3 linked regions of the Arabidopsis thaliana genome follow. The protein of the gene in region 3 interacts with the protein of the main gene of each other region in a pairwise test. Each region holds a gene or a part of one and is shown on either strand. Other genes may lie near its edges.

Region 1 (7,554 bases), on a different chromosome or scaffold from region 3:
AGGGTTCTTGAAAAAGTCTGCAACTTTGAATTAGGTGCATTACCAAGAAATATATAGAGACTGCTTCTAGTTCGTTATTAGTTAGAATTCAGAGCCATGTCCTTCAAGAGTCTCATTCAGGACATGAGAGGAGAGCTTGGGAGTATATCCAGAAAGGGATTCGATGTCAGATTCGGGTATGGTAGATCCAGGTCTCAACGTGTTGTTCAGGATACTTCTGTTCCTGTTGATGCTTTCAAGCAGAGCTGCTGGGCTAGTATGCCTCCGGAGCTCCTGAGAGATGTTCTTATGAGGATTGAGCAATCCGAAGACACTTGGCCGTCTAGGAAAAATGTTGTTTCTTGCGCTGGTGTCTGCAGGAACTGGCGAGAAATCGTCAAAGAGATCGTCAGAGTTCCTGAGCTTTCTAGCAAACTCACTTTTCCTATCTCCCTCAAACAGGTTGAGTATCCCATCACATTCTCTCTTTACTTTATAAATGACTTGTGTGCTTATCCAGGCTAATCGTTTTTCCCTACTTCCTTTTAGCCGGGTCCTAGAGGATCACTTGTTCAATGCTATATTATGAGAAACCGCAGCAATCAAACCTACTATCTATACCTCGGGTTAAACCAAGGTGAAACTAACAGATGCTTCTTCTTTTCTCTTTGCATACCTAATCTCTTTCTGAATAACACTCAAAGGTTTACTTTTTCTGGTCCAGCAGCAGCTTCAAATGATGATGGAAAGTTCCTTCTTGCTGCCAAGAGGTTTCGGAGGCCAACTTGCACTGACTACATCATCTCCTTAAACTGCGATGATGTCTCTCGAGGAAGCAATACCTATATCGGAAAGCTTAGGTACTTAGCTACAGATTGACCCCATGGTTTTTTCATATATTTGCCATAACCTTTCTCTTATCTTAACTTTCTTTCAGATCTAACTTTCTGGGGACCAAGTTCACTGTCTATGACGCTCAGCCGACGAATCCTGGAACTCAGGTTACCAGAACCCGTTCAAGCAGACTTCTCAGTTTGAAACAAGTGAGCCCGAGAATTCCATCTGGCAACTATCCTGTAGCACATATCTCATATGAGCTTAACGTCTTGGGTTCCAGGTGATTTATCTCCTTGCTTACAGATACATTGTGAGATAAAACGGTAGTTGCTTAATATGGCTTTTGCTAATTGTGAACATTGTCGTATCATACCAGAGGACCGAGGAGGATGCAGTGTGTCATGGATGCCATCCCTGCATCAGCTGTAGAACCTGGAGGAACAGCTCCAACTCAGACGGAACTTGTCCATAGCAATCTTGATAGTTTCCCCTCATTCTCCTTCTTCAGGTCGAAATCAATTCGTGCAGAGAGTCTCCCTTCTGGTCCATCATCTGCTGCTCAGAAGGAAGGACTGCTTGTCCTGAAAAACAAAGCGCCCAGATGGCACGAACAGCTCCAGTGCTGGTGCCTCAACTTCAATGGGAGAGTCACAGTTGCTTCCGTCAAAAACTTTCAGCTGGTAGCTGCTCCTGAGAATGGACCTGCAGGACCTGAGCACGAAAACGTGATTCTCCAGTTTGGAAAAGTCGGAAAAGATGTGTTCACAATGGATTATCAGTACCCTATCTCTGCCTTCCAGGCCTTCACCATTTGCCTCAGCAGTTTCGACACCAAGATAGCATGTGAATGATTAATTCCATCAAACCCTGTGACTCCGTGTTTATTTAGTTGTATCATGTTGAAAGAGAAGACTGGTTTGGCCTCGTCTTAGAAGTGTGTGTACATAGTTTCAAAAGTCTTGGCAAGTCCATACAAGAGAAGAGTCAAGAATCGAAGACAGTAGATTGTGTTTGTTGTTGTTGTTGTTGCATTGTGTTGCTAGTGATTGTAGTTCCAGACTATGATTTCATTTCTCTGATAATTAATTTGATCGTTTTTTGGGTAATATATATCCACACAGAGCAGAAATTGAGACATTTGAATTATTATATTTAAGATTGAATTTGACAAACATCTGCAATATCCTATACAGAGATAGCTTTAATATTATTCGAGTGACCAATGGAGTCAGATGTGGTCAATAATAGGGTGGCAGAAGTGGCGGTCCTTGTGGCGGTGGGCCGCCAAAGCAATCTCGTAGCAGCCAGCAGCAGCACAGACAAGATAGACTGCAAGATTCCACAGTCAGACTAACCACTTAACTCTTTACAAAACACATAGCAAAACAGAGAATGTCTTTACCAGGAACATATCATGTCGGAGAACCCAGAAAAGAAACCACCAATGGGTGGGAAGAAGCCTGGTCCTCCCGGTGGCAAGAACCCTGGTCCTCCGGGTCCTCCTGGTCCTCCGGGGCCCATGACAGATCTCTGAACAGTGTGGTGAAGATGTCTCCAAGGGATTTAGCGCTCTTAAGACAGGAGAATAAACAGAGAAGGGCTCTTATATACAAGTTTGTTGGGGCCTAATCTTCAACGTCAACAAACAGTAAACGAAGAGTGAGAGATGCAAAATTGCTTCAAGCTGCAACCACTCTTCACCAAATGTTCAAATCCAAAAATATTAACAGTAAAATTAACCATCATTAAAATAAAGAACTCCAAGTCAGATTCATATTTGAATTCTAAGAAGAACATAGAGAATATAACCACAACTCTGATACATGATTTAGTGCTTACTGATTGCTCAACAAGTAAAACCCACTCCAGATTCCTTGTTCAACCAAAACTTACTTTACTTCTCAGATTATCATTGGGACAGATTCATCGTAGCAGGAATGATCTGCCAAAAAGTGTTGTCATTTTTTTTTGTATTTTTATACTGCCTCAGATTATTATATATTGGTAGATTGCAAATAGTTGTTGCCGCGAGCCCATGCCTTTGGATGTTTGTCTTCATCGGCCATCCAATTTCATCTGAATAAAAAAACAAGAGTGAAAGCTGCGACGGCAGCGGAATTTCTGTTTCGCCGGCCATCGGGAAGAGACGCTTTTATATTTGGGCTTTAAAAGAAAATGGCCCAAACATGCCAACCTATATTGGGTTTACTATGTTACAACTTGAGCCCATAATATCAATTACATCAAGCCCTTCTTGCTCCATGGATCTTTAATGGGTCCAATCTCACTTTCTAACATTACAACAAGTTCTTTTGCTGCTTGCTTGTCTTGAGATTGTATATAACTGTGAACCATGTTTTGTTCTGTGCTCGTCCATGCTTGCCCTTTGGCAAATTAGGAATCGGAGGCAAAACAAAAAAAAAACTATTCTTAAGTGACAATTTTGAGAGTGTGGTCGATATACAGTGATAACTCCTAAGCTTAGAATACAAAAACTTATCTGATCATACACACTATATGATTCGATTAATACAAAAGATTTTTGATTATCAAAGTAACCTCATCATCATTCATGGATCTGCTGCCTTGGCGAAACGTCCCCTGATTCTTGTCCTGCTTTCTGCACGAACCTTGCGTGATTCATACCTGATGTGTTTCTCGTACCTGTTTCATCAACACATGATTCAAATCCCAATCCTATTGGTGGTGTCTCACTTTTTAAATTAGCTTGTTTACCTTCGAGACTTCTTCTTTTCTTTGTAGCGAGAGAGAGCAGAGTTCCTCTCAAGACTGTTGATCTCATGTGTCATCGACCTTGTACTAGTGATAACCGGAACCATCACAGTCTCTTCCTCACATCGGTTTAAGCAGCCGGAAACGGGAACCATCACCGATGACTCTCGGTCTACATTCTCAGGTTTCTCATCTGACTCCGACAAGTTCTTTAGCAGAGAGCAATATGGAAAGTCCTCATGATCTTGCTGATCGAACCATTTCAGTCCACTCTCCTTCATATTGACAAGAGAGATTTATAAGCTGGAAAATCATTTGACAAGCACAAGAAAACACAACCAATAGCAGTCTCTATTACCAGCTCGCATGTAGAAAACAAATCCGGCGCTAGGAATTGGAACCCGGCATCGATCTCAGCATCTGGGGTTTCAAATTTCAGACAACCAGGCTCAGATCTGGATAGTCCACGGAGCTGTCGGATCATCTCATCTTTGTATTTCCCGCAGGTGGCGTGACGATTCTGGAGCATTTCAAAACATTTCAGAGAAATATAAAAACCGAGCAATTGGCTCGAGAAAAAAAACAGAGCAAGTTATACCTTAGGCAGAGGAGGAACATCCGTGGCCCGGAAGTTATGAGTACCCGACCCGCCCGAAACAATAAGGTCGTTGAGGCTAACGATCTCAGGTGACTCCCAAAGCAATCCGGAATCGAGAGTGAGGTCATCGAGGCCAACGATGGCCAGCAACTCAGGCACGGAGGGACAGCCGGTAAATCCTTCAAAGGGTCTGCGGCTATGAAGGGAGGAAGAGGCGGTGTGGTGTTGCCAGTCGCAGTTCTGGCAAAGAACAGACCTTTCAGTCTCGCAGAAAAGGGAAGAGGGAGATTCGTTGCAGGAGTCGCAGAGAAGTGACCTGAAGTGTTTGGCGAAGAGTTGGTTGGCGACGTGGACTTGCTTGTCGCAGGCGAGGCAGAGCTTGGCGGAGTCAGCTTTGCAGTAGACAAGAGCCACGGAGGAGTCGCAATAGTCGCAGAGGCGGTCACGCTGATGACCTTCTTCTGCTTCCATGGGAGGAGCTTAGAGGAGACGACGCCGACAGTTTTGGTAAGAAGAAGAAGTTGATCTTTTCTTGGGATATTTTGGGGCAACAAAACCAAATTTGGTGGCTTATGTAAAAGCCATATCTTAATTGCATTCTAGGTAATGAATGACGTTAAAGTGACGACATATTTGCTTAGACAAAGTCAAATACATTTTATTTCTTGGGGAAGAAGCTGGAAACCTACACTCTCTTCACCTTCCCGTGCCTTTCTTTACTCATCTCTCTCACTTAACTCGTGAAAAATAGCTCTCCATTTTTATATATTGATTTTTCTTGATATATCGGATTAGCCTAGAATTTAACATAATATTTTGGCTACCACATATATAATATACAGTACTTGGTTAGATTTTTAAAAAGTAAATAAGATCATAACTAATGAAGGGCTCAAGAGAAAGAGTTAATGAAGTTGACCACGAATACATCTCTGAAGATTTTTTAAACCGGGACTAGTCCAGAAAATGGACGTGGCAAATTAGGGACGTTAGAAAAAGGAAGCTCGTTGTTGAGGCAGCGTTGGCCGATTTGATTAACTTTAAAGAAACAGACAAACGAAAAAAAGGACTTTGTCACGTTACCGACATAGCTAGAATGCTCGATACTGAATCTTTTCTTCTTATATTTGTTTTTTGTTTGCCACTATGTATATTAGGTGAAACGGAAATGGATCCCACCATTAATTTTTGATATTGAGTCCAAATCTGCTTATCTCCACTAATACCTCATCATCGTTCCTCGATAACTATTACTCCATGAAGGTAGTTTTCAATTAGAGTTTCCGTACTGAATTAAACCTATTCAAGATTAGCTAATACCATGCATAGTTTGACTTTTAGGGCACGATGGGGAAAAAGAGACAGGATGGGCAATATCTAACATTCCAGCGACACTAATAACATGATCTCGACAACTACTGCCCCTACTTCTCTTGAACAATAACACATATCACAAGATAATCTAGCTAGGTTGCTTTTCCATCCTCGTAACATACTAACATGGCTATAAAAACTCATTTTTCAAAAATCGAAATTGATTCTGAAGCCTTTAATAAAAATACACACAACTAAACTGAAACCAAATGTTCTACCATTTCACTTTGGTGGACTAAACTATTCGCATGAGCTACGTTCCTTTTTTAATTTTTGATTTTTTAAAAAATGGTCCACTTTCCAAGTAATCATCGGTTCTCGATATTTTCTTGGACACGAATCTTGAGCCTATAGGTGGATGCTTTTTTCACGCGCCGGTCAAAGAATCTTGAATCTTATAACAATGACAACAAAGTGAATATGGTTCTTAGTTCTTACACGTTCTGTACAACTTCCGATTAGATTCTCCTATATATTTCCCACGATCCCAAGAAGTTGGAGGTCAAGAAAAGTTGTTCCACACATCATGTAAAGGGATTCTACCTTTATTATTTCTTTTCGACCTTTTGAACTCAGTATAATCATATTTTCTTCAAAAAGAAATCTTCAAGGTCTATATACTACTATATAACTATAGAGGCTTTTACACGCTTCTTTTGATTGGAGAATCTTGAAGTAGTTGATTTTGGTAACTTTAAGTAACTAAAGGGAAATAATTATGGGTAACATATATAAGCATGCAAAGCGTAAATGTCAAATCCATTATTTAGTAACTAATTTACGTGCTTAAACCTGTGAGTAGAGTTTAATCTCAAGTGATAAAAAGCGGAACTAAGGAGAATAATATGCTTCGTTATCTATAAAGCTGATGAGAGGATCGTTAATGTACCGTATATAAAACAACTATTCATATGATTCGTTAGTAAAAAAAATTGTATTTTTTTCTTCTAACATTGTATGTTTTTATTGATTATGAGCATATATGTTTAATTTACTACACGAGCAACTAACGAAAAAACAAAGAGTTCATATATATAAAAAGGTGTACAATTTTTCATTAGAAAATAATAGTAAATTAAACGTGAAGATACTCAAGAATAAAGGAACGCAAAAAGAGCAGTGATTTTGTGTAGCCATGATATACTTGGACCGCGAAAGATCTTCCATCCTCTTCCTCAAACTGCTTTAGTTGCATTAGGCCACTGGTATCTTATCATTGTTTTTCTTCTTACCAAATTTGTATGGTGGAGACTAATTAAGTCTATTCTGATCTAATATTTTTCACATTCGATTTATATATACTCTAATGGGCACTGATTTATCCTTGATTCAAAAGTACGCTCTAAACACAACATCACAAAGGCTAAATCTGTATATCGCCCGATATAATGTTAACTATCAATAGGTCTAACTAATAATGATGAAGCCAACTTATACATTACATCTTGATAATTAGAAGACGAGTTCATGCATGTGTTGGCCATTCACATTTTTATTCTAGCTACTGTCAGTGTATGTGAATATTTCTAAATAAGAAAATGGTTTGTGTGTAGCCTCCTTCTGATACCATGTTAAAAACAGACAAGTATAAACGGTTTCTTGCCTTATTATATGGAAAGCCCTAAATTACTCAACATACACAAGAGATCGTTACTAATTGTGTGGGAAAAAATGTAAAAGTTTCAATACTATTTTCATTAGCATAAACAGAGAGTCATACATCAACATACACCAGTTGATTAACTAAACTGAAACACGAGAGAAGCTAAACAATAGAACATACAAACGATAAACATTAATTCAGACGAAGTCCTCACTGAATATCTAGCTAGCTCACACTCTAGCTGTAACTGTGTTTATTCTCACTAGCTAATAATTAGATATTATATATTGAGTTGGTTTAATTTTGCTAGTAAAGGATGGACTGATAGGGTTTGATCAATGGGACAAGAGAGCCACTAAGGTGAAGGGACATGACTTCATTGGTGGAGCCAACAAGCTTGCCTCCGACAAAGACAGCTGGAACCGCCGTG
Region 2 (6,406 bases), on a different chromosome or scaffold from region 3:
ATTGACACAAAGAATAATATTATCTCAATAATATTTCAATGAATTGTAGAATTTCAATGTCATTGATCCCGACAGTTCACAATTCATTTGGACATTGCTACCATTACTTAAACTGTTAATTACAATATATCATGATAAATTTAAATTTTAAAATAATGGCATACTTAGTTTTATCTCTTATGTATATACTTATTTTAAAAATATTAAGTTGATCCCCGCATATATTTTTAGATCTTGTCGTCACAATATTACATAAAGTTTTTAACCTCTCAAAGGCTCTAGCTTTCAGCTCTTTGTCATTGACACCAACTCACGAAAAACATATCACGCAAAGTATGGAGAAGAATAAGAGGAAATAACAGAGTAGAAGAAAGGGAGAAGAAGAGAGAAGCACACAAATATTTGTTCACCTGGTTCACGGTATTAACGAACCGCTACGTCCGGTTATGATCTTTCTTTCGATCCACATCTTTCCACTATGAAGAAGAAGGTGACTACAAGAGTTATAAGTCAAAGCTTAAGTGGAACAGAGACTTAACTGCTGGGCCACAATAACATTGTTGTGAATTGATAGTGATAATAAAACTAGAGCTTCTTGTGCTAAAGTAAACCTTAAAGGTTGCATCTTGAAACGCCAAACGTGGCTGCTTGAAACACAAGATGAGAAGACTGTCCTAACTTGTGCCAGCCCTTGCAACATCGTGGACACCCTCCTTTATGATCCAAAAGCATTTAACTCAACCCAAGTTCAACTTATATTAACTTGAGTTAGCTTTAAACTTGCTTATCAAGTTCATATCTTCACAGTTTTGATTTGCGGTTTCTGACTTCATTCAAAATTTTATTATGATGATGTTATGTTCCTTTGTTTGCTAAGAGTCTGAGAATCGATTCATTATGAAAACTAGAGTATGCATATGCCAACACTTTTCGAATCATTTGATATGACAATCATTGAAGACGTATGGTCAGTTTTACGCAAACCAATTGATATGAAGTGATATTTCGACACTTTATGAGTAATGACGACGAAAAATGATTAGATTATCTAATACTTGAAAGGGTTCTCCTTCAAGGTTATACCATTTACTAAAAGAGAATTAGTGGTTTGTTATTTTAGAATATGTAGATTTCTTCTTCTTTTGTGTTGCTTTCGTTTGATTAAGTTTTTTCTCATGTTTGAATTTTCATTAATAACTAAATATCTTAATGTTTGGTTTCTTTGCACAATTTTTCTCTTCTAAGGAAACTTGAGAGCAATTACGAGCACATTCTACTTTGATTCCTTGGAATAAGGTTGTTTGGTTCAAGAATGCAGTGCCAAGGTATTCTTTCATCACTTAGCTTGCATTGAAAGGTAGATTGCTTAAGAAAGACAGGCTCATAAGTTGGGGACTGAATATCTCTGCAGCTTGTGTGCTTTGCTCTAACGGTATCGAAACCCACAACCACCTCTTCTTTAAATGCTCTTTCTCTTCAACCGCGTGACAAGTTTTTGCTTCTCGAATCTGGCCTCGTTCACCATCAACGTTGGCCTCCATCGCCTCTTGAATTTTGCAGTCTCGGACACCACCACAGCTGATTGTATGAGTTTGTGTTCTATATGAATGTTAATCTTAATAGCTCAACTCATTTATTTTTGCATATCGATTTCTTACAGAGATTGTAAATCAAAATTTATTAGTTCAACATTAAGTAAACTATATAATTTAGGATACAATTGTGAGAATTAATTCAAAAAACAACAATCTTCTAACAATAACTTAGCCCCTGATTAAATCAGGAAACATTTTAGTTTTAATTATCCTTAATCTGCTATTAACCGATATACTACTACCATGTTTCTTTCACCGGAAAATATCAGAAACTCGGAACAACACCGAATCCGCCATAAACTCCGACGTCTCCACCATCATTCTCTCTCGAATCTGTTCTCTTAGCAAAACGTCCTTTGATTCTCGGCCTCATCTCAGCGTAAGCTTTACGCGACGCATACCTAATCGTCTTCTCAAATTTCCGATTCTTCCTCTTCTCTCTATACCTCAAAACCCTTGCTTCCCTCTCCGCCGGTGATAACTGCACAGCTGGCGTCTCCGTGTTCGTCATCTCCGCCGTCACTCCTCCACTTTCAGGCACCAACGGTACATCTATCGTTCTCGTCGAAACCTAACAACATTTCACAAACTCAAATCAGATCCAAACTTTCAGATCTAGATCTGAAAATTTTCCAGATCCATGGAAGCTTAAGAAGATAGAGAGAGATTCGTACAGTTTGGTTGATGAAATTGAATCCTTGTTGAGAAATTTTGGAAGCAGAGAGATCGAAATTGAAGTAATCTTCGTTAAGAAACAACTTATTCTGCACAGGAACAACTCCGTCGTTACCGGAGCTATTCTCCTCCGACGTTACCTCAATCTTCGGATAATCAAGATCGGAGAACAAATTAGTGATTTCGATTCCTTCTTTAGCTAAAAGCCACGAAGCAGTGACGTCACCGCCATCTTCATCTACGAAATTGACGGAGGAGGAAGCGGATTTTGCTGGACCTACAGCGTCGTAGAAAGGAGTGATTGGTACGCGCTCGTGGCGGCGAGAGAGTGGATTAGCTGAGTGGATATCACGGTCGCACGTGACGCATAACGCAGCGGCGTCAGCTTTGCACGTGACGTGTGCTGGTGCTTGTTCGCATACTTCACATAGCCAAACTCGTTCGTGACGTGATGCGAGTTTGTTAGCTGTGTGGATCTTACCGTCGCAGTCGCCGCAGAGAAACGCGGCGTCTGCGCGGCAGAATAGAGTTGCTGCCGTCGATTTGCACGAATCGCAAAGTCTTGACGACGACGCCATTGATGCTCTCTATATCTCTCTCTACTGTTTTTTTTGTAGAGAGAGGGATAATAATGGAGTCGGCTTTTTTTTTGTATTGACTCTTGGTGTTATGGAAGTGGCGATTGTACCGGACGCGCAGGGAGTGAAGTGGGTCATGGAGATCTGGGAATAGCGAATAGAGAGATGACACGTTAGTGAATCTTAGCCGAATAGTTGGAGTTTACGAGACATTTAGGAGAAGTGGGGCTAATCATGTGAAGGTGTATTAACTTGGGTTCATGTTCTCACGGACTTTCACAAAAGGAATGGAAAGTTCCTTCTTTTTGTCGGCAAGGAAATTCGAATTTACCCATGGTTACTTAATAGTTAATAATTACCGTAGATGCTATGTAGGCCTGGGACTAAAATCCGTTATCCGCGGGTATTCGAATCCGGATCCGTGATCCGATCCGGAAAACCGAATAATTAGGTGCGACGGATCCGGATACGAGTCCGGCGGATCTGGATACGAGTCCGGCGGATCTGGATACGAGTCCGGCGGATCCGGATACGGATCCAGATTATGAAAAAAATCAGAGCCGAATATCCGCATCCGTTCAATATGTCTACATATTTGTATTATGGGCTTAAGTTATATTTGTATCCTGGGCTTAATCAAATACACATTATCAATGTTAAGCCCAATAGTCCAATATTAGCCCACTACGACAAAATGATGGAATTTGAGTTTGTTTGGGACTTAACTATTAGGGTTTCATAACATATTTTTTCTGCCGCCGTGAATGTTTCCTTCATCACCATTTCCTTCACTATCTCCATCTCATCTCCATGTAATCTTCATCACCGTCTCCCCACCATATTCATCTCGGTTCCACCGTCGTAAATTTATGGACGGAAGTTTACTTACGGGAATGATGATACATGGGATTCAAAGTGTCGATGGCGGAGATGAATGAGGAGGAGCAGATTGGACACCGTTAAAGACGAGATCTTGGTGGTATGTGCCTTGCAAAGTCTGATGTCGGGCACACGTCGATCTCTTTTGGTGGTGAATTCAATCTGGTTGGTGAAATAGGAAATTGAATTTGTTCCCAAAAATAAACGGATCTCGAATATCCGCGGATATCCGGTTTTTTCATGGATATTCGAAATCCGGATATCCGAGGTTTACGGATCCGGATGCGGATCCTAAAACTACATATCCGCCGGATACGGATACGGATCCAGATACTCCAAAAAACCCGGATATCCGGATCCGTAGCAGGCCTAATGCTATGTACAGCCTTTTGTTTATGACTAGAAATCGTAATTTTTATTGAGTTACGATAATAAAACAAATTTGTTTAAGTTAATTTGCTCAACACCCGCCATATAAAAGATTCTATGGTAAGATCAAGAAAGAGAGCCACCGTCAAGTTACATTCTCTAAACGCCGAGCCGGACTCTTTAAGAAAGAGCTTCACAAATCGCTTGTGTTTTGTTTTGGTAGCATACTAGCATTATTAGCAGGAAAGTTAATCAAATAGCTTAGGCTAGTATCTTGCTAGTTCTATATATTCCTTGCAAATTATTTTTGCCTCTTTGAAAACATTAAAAAAAAATCTTACTATCTACTAAATGGCATAATAGTGTCAACAATTTTATCATTAATTAAGGAGCAGACAAATTACATAAATTAGGACTTCTAAAACCCCAAACGTTTGAGCTTCTGAATCCAAGTCGGCAAAAACACCACTTGGAACCAATTCAGTGTTTCGTCTGGAATCAGTTCAATATTTCATGTTAAAAAGTGATGATATTACCCCTTATGGGTCTCAATCAAAAATCTGTGTTGGGTTTTTTCTTTCAGAATGAAACAAAACAACAAAAAGAGAATATTAAGTGAACATGTCATTGATATTAACTCTTTAAGATGAAGAACTAAGATAAAAAAAAGATACTAAACAAACCAATAAGTAAAAATGATCAAAGTTACACTCTTGAGAAATGTGACAGATTGGTGTATGACGATGATTTTAGCCACTTCCCGACTTCAATGTATTACTCAACCTGAAGATCAAGATGGAAATGAGAGAAGAATATTTGAGAAGAAATGCATAAAGAAATGGGTTCAGTGTTTCAATAATGGGACCAAGAAAATGGTTCGGTTTCAGAATGTGCTTACCAGTCCAATCCCTCGAAAAGTCCCTCGCCTTTCACAGCACAAGTTTTGAAGATTGCCCATTGACGACTCTTTATCTTATGCAACTCCAAGGCTTCTGTAACAGCCGCATCATCGAGTGCACCGGGAAGATCCTAAATTAAGTCGATTTAATGAAACTCAGACCAAATAGTTATAGATTTTTCATCAGCAAAAAAGTGTCTTGTGCATGCAAAACAAACTAAAGCTTTTTAGCAACAGAAACCAATACAGATTTCCAGATGAATCAGCCCAAACTAATCGGAAGAGCAAACATTTAGAGACTACTAACCTGCTTGTTTGCAAATATCAGAACCACCGCACCTTTCAATTCATCTTCCTATAAAACATAGTTGAAAAGATAGTGCGAGTTAAATGCTGACAGTGGCAGAGGTAAACTCAAGTAAGCATTGTTGCTGAGAGTTTAAGATTAGCTAGCAAGATCTACAGAGAGAAATGATCACTTGTTCTTTCCGTCCAGTACTAACCGAGATACTTCAATTTCAGTATCACCTATTAGAAGGCTAACAATACTTGATATACAACTTACAAGCATCTATAACAAGTCCTAAACAAGAAACTGAACCAATATTGTATTTCCATTCAACTACCGATATACATCATCATCGTTTTACCTCAATTACTTTTGGATGCAAGAAGTCCATCACAAAATAATACAACAGTATAAGAAGAGGAAGCCTCAGCAGTACTTTACCTCTAAAATTGCATGAAACTCCTCTTTCGCCACCCCGATTCTATCTGTATCACTCGAGTCAACAACATAGATCACTGCTTGTGTATTCGGGAAATAGCATCGCCAGTATGGCCTGTCAAAAATACCATTAGAAAATTGGGCAAAACAAAAACAGTATAATCTTGATGGAGCATTTCTGTTCTTCATTCCTTCACAGTAGATGCAATATGTTCATCATATCTAGAAATGAGAAACGAGGTCATTAAGCTACCTGATGCTTGTTTGTCCACCTGTCATAGGAAAGTTCTTGTTAATGTACTGTGTCGCTGAACCAATTTTGTAAAATGCAAAAGCATTCGCATATAACTAACAAGACAGATGTACATACAACACGTGCAAAACAATAATAATAATAAAAACTATAGGAAGAAGATGTGATAATACAGAACTCTTTATCACCCAAATTTGAATACAAAGAACTTCATCTATCTCATCAAGACCAGTTGGAAAAGGTAATAACTTGGAACAAGAAAGTCGAATATAACGACACATACGACAACAACTTATCTAAGGACTCCAAATCAAGGAAAATTCTGATCATGAATTCGTTAATTCATACAAAAGACAAACATTCCAATTATACAAAAGTGACACTGAAGATCTACTACCATGGAGCTAGTCAACTTAGAAAGAAGAACGCAGA
Region 3 (6,992 bases):
GTCTAGAAGAAAATTGCGTTTGGCCCCCACCAAGAAAGGTTTTTTTTTTTGGGTGATCTCTTGACTCTTTTCTATATTTGATCTGGTTTGGAGTAATAGTAAGCAAAGTTTCACAATTCTTGACTTGATAAAGAAGAGAAGAGACAAATCTCCTGTGCTTCCTGGCGAAACTCCTTTTCAGTAAATTAGAGAAAATATCTGGTTGGTGGCATTTTGTAAAACTTGACTAGGGAAAAACTTGAGAATAGAGTGATATAGAAATCATAAGCACTTCTCTTTGTTTGATCTAGCTAGTCTATTGCTAAGACAGCCTTTGTTATACACTTTTCTAGACATATGATAACTGTGCGTAAGATGATGCAAAATAGCTATGAATTGTCAAAGCCTAGGTTTGCAAAAGAAAATGTACATGATCTTTTCTTGATTGACTCCTCTTGTGAATCTTAGTTTCAACTCTTACAAGTTGACACTTGTAGAAGGATATTTGACATCAAGCTAATTAATTAAAACAAGGTTGTCTGGGTATGATTTTATTATCCAAAGCGAATAACTATTGAGCCCTCTTCCTTTTACAGATGAGTAAAGTGCCTTAGTATCTCATCAGGTTCACCCTCTTCACAGTCAGGTAAAATATAAACAACCTTTTCAACTTTGAGTGGTCTCCACCGACCATTCTTTCGGGTTTTTTTCTTATTCTTTTGGAATTCGTAGGTACAACGATGGATGAAACAAAACGGATTTGTGCAGAGGAGTGTGTTTGTGTGTTTGTTTATTGCTATCTTTTGCAATATTGAAAAGTCTCTGGAATCTCCTCTGGATTATTTATTCCCAGTCCTTGTTCTTCTTATAATTCTCCATGTATGATTTTCACATTTAAACAATGCCCTTTTCCATGTATGACTTTCACATTTAAACAATACCCTTTTGGGGTTATGACCTTAATCTTCAATCTAATTTGATATCCGATGAGATACTAAAAGATGGAATCTATTTTGGTTTTTAACACTTAAAACAAATCGACCAAAGTATTCAATTATTCATACTAATTGTTCATCCGTTTCCAACATTTATGTTACAACATAGATTATTTACAACATTTATGTCACTCACACTTTACACATAATAATATGGTATGAATTAATGTTAAAAAGGATATGCTCAACTCTGTCCTCTTTGCATGGTTTCCATTCTAGATAAATATCTGCACAGAGGATGTTTTTATTGTTCCTTTTTCATTATTGTGATCTACACTGGCTGACTTAGAGCTCTTCCGCACTTCTCTTTCCCTAACAACTCAAAGTTTCTTAAAAGAGAAAAAAAAACAAGTTTGCTAAAGAATTATCATGACAAGAAAATCAATTTAGAAGAAAAGCACAAAGGAACAAAAAGAAGAGAAGAGAAATTCACATATGTATTGTGACAATTCTCGATTCTCATGCATACATTTTCTCATGAGGAAGCTACCAAATATGGAACTAATCAAAAAATCATTTCTATACTCTCGCATGTTTAATTTATTGATCCAGTCATAGAGTTTCAAATGACAAGTTTCATATCTCCTGTTTCCAGTTTTGAATTATTATATTTGGAATTGACGATGTCGTGTGAATGTAAATTACGTTATGGTTGAATAAAATGAATGAATGTTAGGTTTGTAGTTAATTAGTGTAGTTTAATCTAATAGTCAAACTCAACGTACGGGATAAAGACTGATCCGTTAGGTTTTTGGTTTGACTTTAGGAATTGGAACTATGGACTAATGGTTGAAGTATTTGACGCTAGTCATGCGTTGATAGTGAAACCCAGCGAATTTCCTAACAAATATTTTCTACTTTCTTATATCGATTTTATAATGAGTTTAAATTTCGAATGTTTTGTTTTGTTTTGTTGGAATCGTATAAAAACTTATAAATTGAAACAATATAAGAATTTGCGTTAAAAGAATATGTAGTTTAAATGAGAACCACATGTTTTATTCAAATTAATTCGAGAGAGACCCAACTGTCCAACCCCCACAACACCAGTTCCTCGGTAAGCCAGAGAATCAAGTGGTTAAAAAAAAGAAGGGATAAACGGTTTTGATGTATGTATATAGGACCCAAATGACACACACGAAACCAATAGGAGTAAAATTTTAAATTAAAATCGAAAGAACTATGGTGAACAAAGATGTGATCCTGTCATGTGAATGAAGAACATGGTGAGATAACGTTATAAGGTAAAACATGGGGGTGTCAATATTTTATGGACCATCAAACACAGTTCACAGACGCGGCAGATATGACAGGTTCAATGTTCTTGGCGAATGAATGTAACCTCAAGGACCCATTACATTATAAAAATCTCTCGAAATTTTATCATATTTAATTTCATTTTCTTTGTAGTCCCCACAATTGAGTGGTCGAAATTACAAAGCAAATCATATACTTTATTTTTACGGTATGTGTATACCATTGTGTCCATCTGCCACCAATCTCTCCCCCATTCCTTTTGATCCATTGAATATAATCATATAACATAAGTCATAAACTTACGAATCGAAATTAATTTACTTACGTAGATTAACAAAAAAAAAATCAACATAATAATGATATTGATAAGAAAAATAAAAAGTTAAGATTTGATTTTGTACGACATTCAAAGAAAGAAAGAAACTACCTCATCTCTAAAACAAAGTATTGTCAGAAAACTGAACGGTGGTGATTTACTTAAACAAGAAAAAAAAAGGAATCAACGGCTGAGATCTCTTCTTGTTTTGGAGATCGCAAAGATCGGAGAAGACGATGTATCGGCGCCGTTCATTCTGACGATACGGTAGAGTGTGAGTTAAACAACAACCGTTGATTTAAACGCCGATCGCTTCAACGGCCGAGAATAGTTTGACCCTTGAGCTGAAGAGCTTCCGATCTCATCCTGCATTTTCCAAAACAACGAAACCGATAATTAAAACCAAAACTTTCTCTGTTAATTTCCCGACAAAATAGTTAAAAAAGATAGATCCATACATCGGAGCAGAGAAGATCTGAATTCTCTCTAGCCCTCGTCCTCTTCGTCACTGAACCTCCGCTTCCTCCGTCAGAAGATGAAGAACTCATCACCGGAGGAACTTGCGCCGCCGCAGACCACGGCACAACTTGATTCTCCGCTTCCTCATCATCACCATCCTCATCATCATCCTCATCCTCATCGTCGCTGTACTCTTCATCCTCATCTTCTTCCTCATCATCATCGTAAGACTCCGCGTCGTCACCGTCACCGTGATCTTCTCTAATCCGATCTTCTTCGGACTCGAAACTATTAACCTCCTCCTGACCACGATTCTCCGATAAAACTCTGTTTCCACGGCCACCGCCGGCGTTTTTAAGAGCGACGCATGACTCGCAGACGGAGAAAGTTGGGCCAAGACGAAGCCCAGTAGCTTTCCACGGCGTAAGAGACTGACAAGCGCTACAGAGAAGACAACGCGTGTGTTTAGCTACCAAGAAATTAGCGCCGTGAACTTTACCGTCGCAATCCCAACATAAACTAGCTTGATCTGACTCGCAATACATTCTTGCAACACCGTTACATAAATCACACTTCTTCCCCATTTTAATCAAAATCAAACTCTTTCTCTCTTTCAAGTTTCTGTGGTTGTTCGTTTTGTGTCTATGCTTTGGTTCCTTGGAGAGATAAGGAAAGAAGAAGAAGAATAGGAAAGTGCAAGTTGCAGGATTTGGGATATTTTTCGTGGCGAGTTTTCTGTGATTCAACAATTCTTTGGAGGCTAGTTTCGTCTTTTTCTGCCTTCTGCTAAAAAATCTATTTCTCTTCTTTGGTTTCACAATGACTCTATTTTATATAGCACCTTCCTTTTTTTTTTATTCTGTGGTTAGTATCCATTTCATTTCAATTTAACTTTGTAATAACGTATAGTATTTAATCAATTAAGGATTGGTTCAACTTAAAAATCTTTTTGCTTTAGAGATGGGTTTATCACTTTAACCTTTATTTGAGATTTTTGTTTGGATAATTATCAGATCTATATCTGCTGCAATTATTTAAATTACTTGAGTCAGTAATGTTTTCTTTATTGTTTTTAGCTTTATCCTTGTGTTTTATTTTTTCTTGTGGATAAAAAATACTGTTTCACATTTTCTACTTAGAATCATTACAGTTTAAGTAAAACACATTAATTATGCGTTATTAGGATAAATAAGTTTAAATGATTTTTGAAAACCAGTTATTAATGCGTATGGGCCAAAGCCAAACCCCGTTTGTACGTGGCGACAAACTCATGGTTCAGTTTCGAGATATTTTTTTGGGAGAGATTTATTTAGTCGATGACGTGGCGAGATCTCAGCCGGGGAAGGAGGAGAGCGAGATTCTGTCCCGTCCTACGTGGACGAATCAGGTTCTCAATGGGCTTCGTAGCCACGTGAGCCCACCTGGGATTTGTCTGGACCATAACACAAGTTTAATGGGCCCCACGTATCTTTGTTCAATTATCTTTCCCTCTTTTTTTATAAACCACTTGTTTTGTTTTTTACTTCTCTCCCATACTTCTTCGCTTCCCAAACTGATCCAAAACATCTGTGTTTCTTGCGAGGATAAGATAACAATGAATTTTTAAATTACAAAATAATATATCGGTATTGGGGGAGAATAAAAAACTTTCTAATATGGTACATAGTAGGCGAGTATTTGTTTACTTGGACTATAATTGTTTAATGTTTTTTTTTTTTGTTAGATATGGTTATTTAATCGTATAGTTGATTTATTTGTGGCTCTCACGAACCCATTGTAAGAAAAACAAATGTTGATTAAACTCTGGCCACATAAAAGATTGTGCTTATGTGGAATGCTTTGATTTGGGGAAATCCTACGTGGCGATCGACGGTGGTGTGAAGAATCAAAGGAAGATGAGATGTCATGATGAGAGCCACGGATACACAAAGTCTCTGGTGAGTGGGTGTGGTTGTGGTTATGGCTCATTATTGTGGCTTTTCTTTTTCTTTTTTTCCTCCATTGTGTGGATAAGAATTTTGGAACAAGTCAGAACTTTGAAGAAGAGAGATTCATATTCAAAATGTGTGTGTATATATAATATTGTCAGAATAGTTCAAATACATCCCTTCTTGTTCTCATCTTTTAAGAGATGTGGCATGTATCATGTATGTATGGGGCTATGCGATATGCAGTATTGATGCCAATTTTTGTCAAAAGAGTTTTTTTTTGTGTGTTTTATTAAAAAAAAATATTCCAAATAAAATTAAACGCCAAAATTTGAAAAACTAGCTGTTTGTTTTCTGTTTATCTTTGATTTTATTAACTTAACTATTCAACCACTAAAATTAAAAATGCTGGATTGTTTGTTGTTTTAAACCAGCTTAATGAATATAAAAGCACGCCTATTTTGTTTGATTGGTGATCGATCTAAATATCTAATAGTCTAGTCATCCCATCCAATTTGGATTCGAAATCCTATCTTTGGTTAGAACGATCAAATTATGCCAATTTGTTTGTTAAACATATATATTTATTAGAAGACTACCATTTCATTTTAATTTAGAGAAGTAACCAATGGTTTCGCTTATGTCAAAGTCTTTGATTCAAGGATCGATAAAATTTGAATAAGAAAATGTTGTAACGAACAAATGAACATTCAATGATCCATCAATAAATGTTTTATGTATATATATATATATATATATATTCTATATTTGAATAAAACCAATCAATAATTCTACTAATGCTCCCTACAGAAAAACCACACGTTAAAAACCCTTAAAATATATCGACACGATTGTGAGAAAAAGACTAGCAAAGAGACAATGCATAAGCTAAGAAGGCCTAAGGGATGATGATTAACATGGGCCTCTTTTTGTACACGTTTTTTCTTTCCTTTCCTTCTTTGCGTTCACGTTTCTTGGTACACGTATCTCTTACAGTCTCCACGTTGAAGTGTAAGCATTACAGAGCTCTCTCGCTAGAGACAACGATGATCTTATACCTGTTACGTTCATGTGCCAAAATTAGGTCTTCATTTTCTATTGGTACATGTCAGTTTGGGCCATCCGGTCACTATTATACACATATGGTCTATATTTTTAAAAAAACTTCTTACTTGCCAAATAATTGGTCCACTAAAAAATAGTCGGAAATTACAATAAACCGGACCCTTAAAATCAATAGGAAAACTCTGGATCTTGGCTTCAACTACTATTGTTGTAAACTAATGTTTTTTCGCCTCCAAATTCCAATCTCTATTTTCCTAGTGAAATACATTTTATTAACAAATTTGCGAATATGTTAAAGATTTTGAATACTAGTAGCCAAAAGAAAAAAAAAAGAAAAAACTGTTGTTCATGGAGGCTTATTTAATTTCTAGAAACGAAGTTTCTGTTCGATAGAGGTTCATCTCGATCGATCATCAAGGAATCGACTTGGAGAAAATAGACAAGAAAAGGTTTCAGTCCACTACGAAAAGCATACTTAAGAAAATGGAAGCGTGGGCCGTATATGGGCCTTAAAACAATTAGATACAGGCCAGCTACGTCTCTAAGTTGAGTAGTATTTGCGTTGACTGAGCCATGTCACGTCAGGACTTCACCTGTGGGTCGCCAACGATTGGCTATATCCACCAGATCAATAATGCAATGCATGAATTTTACTTGAATCGTCGCAATGTACATATCAAACTATCAATGATCTGATTCTGACCACTCGCTCCCTTATATGGTGACTAAGTCAAGGAAGATTAGCCACATCTATTTATTGCTTTTGTCCTTGCTAGGCTTATACACTCTTAATCTGAGAAACTTCCAACATGGCCATCAAAACTTAATGAGGAATCATATCTTGTCTCTGGCGTTCAAACAAAACACCCTAATAATTTTTTTTTTCATTCTGAAGAAAAGTTTTATCATTGAAGTTCAACATCCACAGACAATCTGCATTGAATTTATCTTGACTTGTCGCTTATGCCAAGTTGGGTTGTACGAAGTTGACAA

What was found.
Region 1: the proteins of BBX28 (region 3) and AT2G47890 interact in a two-hybrid assay, tested with the Arabidopsis thaliana proteins (one large-scale study listed by BioGRID).
Region 2: the proteins of BBX28 (region 3) and COL3 interact in a two-hybrid assay, tested with the Arabidopsis thaliana proteins (one large-scale study listed by BioGRID).

What each region holds. Positions count from the first base shown.
Region 1 is NC_003071.7:19,605,309-19,612,862, reverse strand, and holds AT2G47890 (B-box type zinc finger protein with CCT domain-containing protein), read right to left. Parts: upstream 4,868-7,554; 5' UTR 4,619-4,867; coding exon 4,148-4,618; intron 4,070-4,147; coding exon 3,908-4,069; coding exon of another isoform or gene 3,827-3,907; exon of another isoform or gene 3,825-3,826; coding exon 3,553-3,824; coding exon of another isoform or gene 3,549-3,552; exon of another isoform or gene 3,481-3,548; coding exon 3,387-3,480; 3' UTR 2,576-3,386; downstream 1-2,575. Other genes in the region: TLP3 (tubby like protein 3), read left to right, coding at 97-441, 529-616, 704-839, 917-1,096, 1,193-1,667; AT2G47885 (uncharacterized protein), read left to right, coding at 7,495-7,554; AT2G47880 (Glutaredoxin family protein), read right to left, coding at 7,431-7,554.
Region 2 is NC_003071.7:10,563,401-10,569,806, reverse strand, and holds COL3 (CONSTANS-like 3), read right to left. Parts: upstream 2,972-6,406; 5' UTR 2,849-2,971; coding exon 2,270-2,848; coding exon of another isoform or gene 2,186-2,269; exon of another isoform or gene 2,184-2,185; intron 2,167-2,183; coding exon 1,861-2,166; 3' UTR 1,662-1,860; downstream 1-1,661. Other genes in the region: AT2G24780 (uncharacterized protein), read left to right, coding at 3,968-4,126; ARF3 (ADP-ribosylation factor 3), read right to left, coding at 4,846-4,879, 4,995-5,125, 5,302-5,349, 5,725-5,836, 5,975-5,993.
Region 3 is NC_003075.7:13,672,451-13,679,442, reverse strand, and holds BBX28 (B-box type zinc finger family protein), read right to left. Parts: upstream 3,907-6,992; 5' UTR 3,591-3,906; coding exon 3,006-3,590; intron 2,914-3,005; coding exon 2,827-2,913; 3' UTR 2,388-2,826; downstream 1-2,387. Other genes in the region: PHOS34 (Adenine nucleotide alpha hydrolases-like superfamily protein), read left to right, coding at 576-583.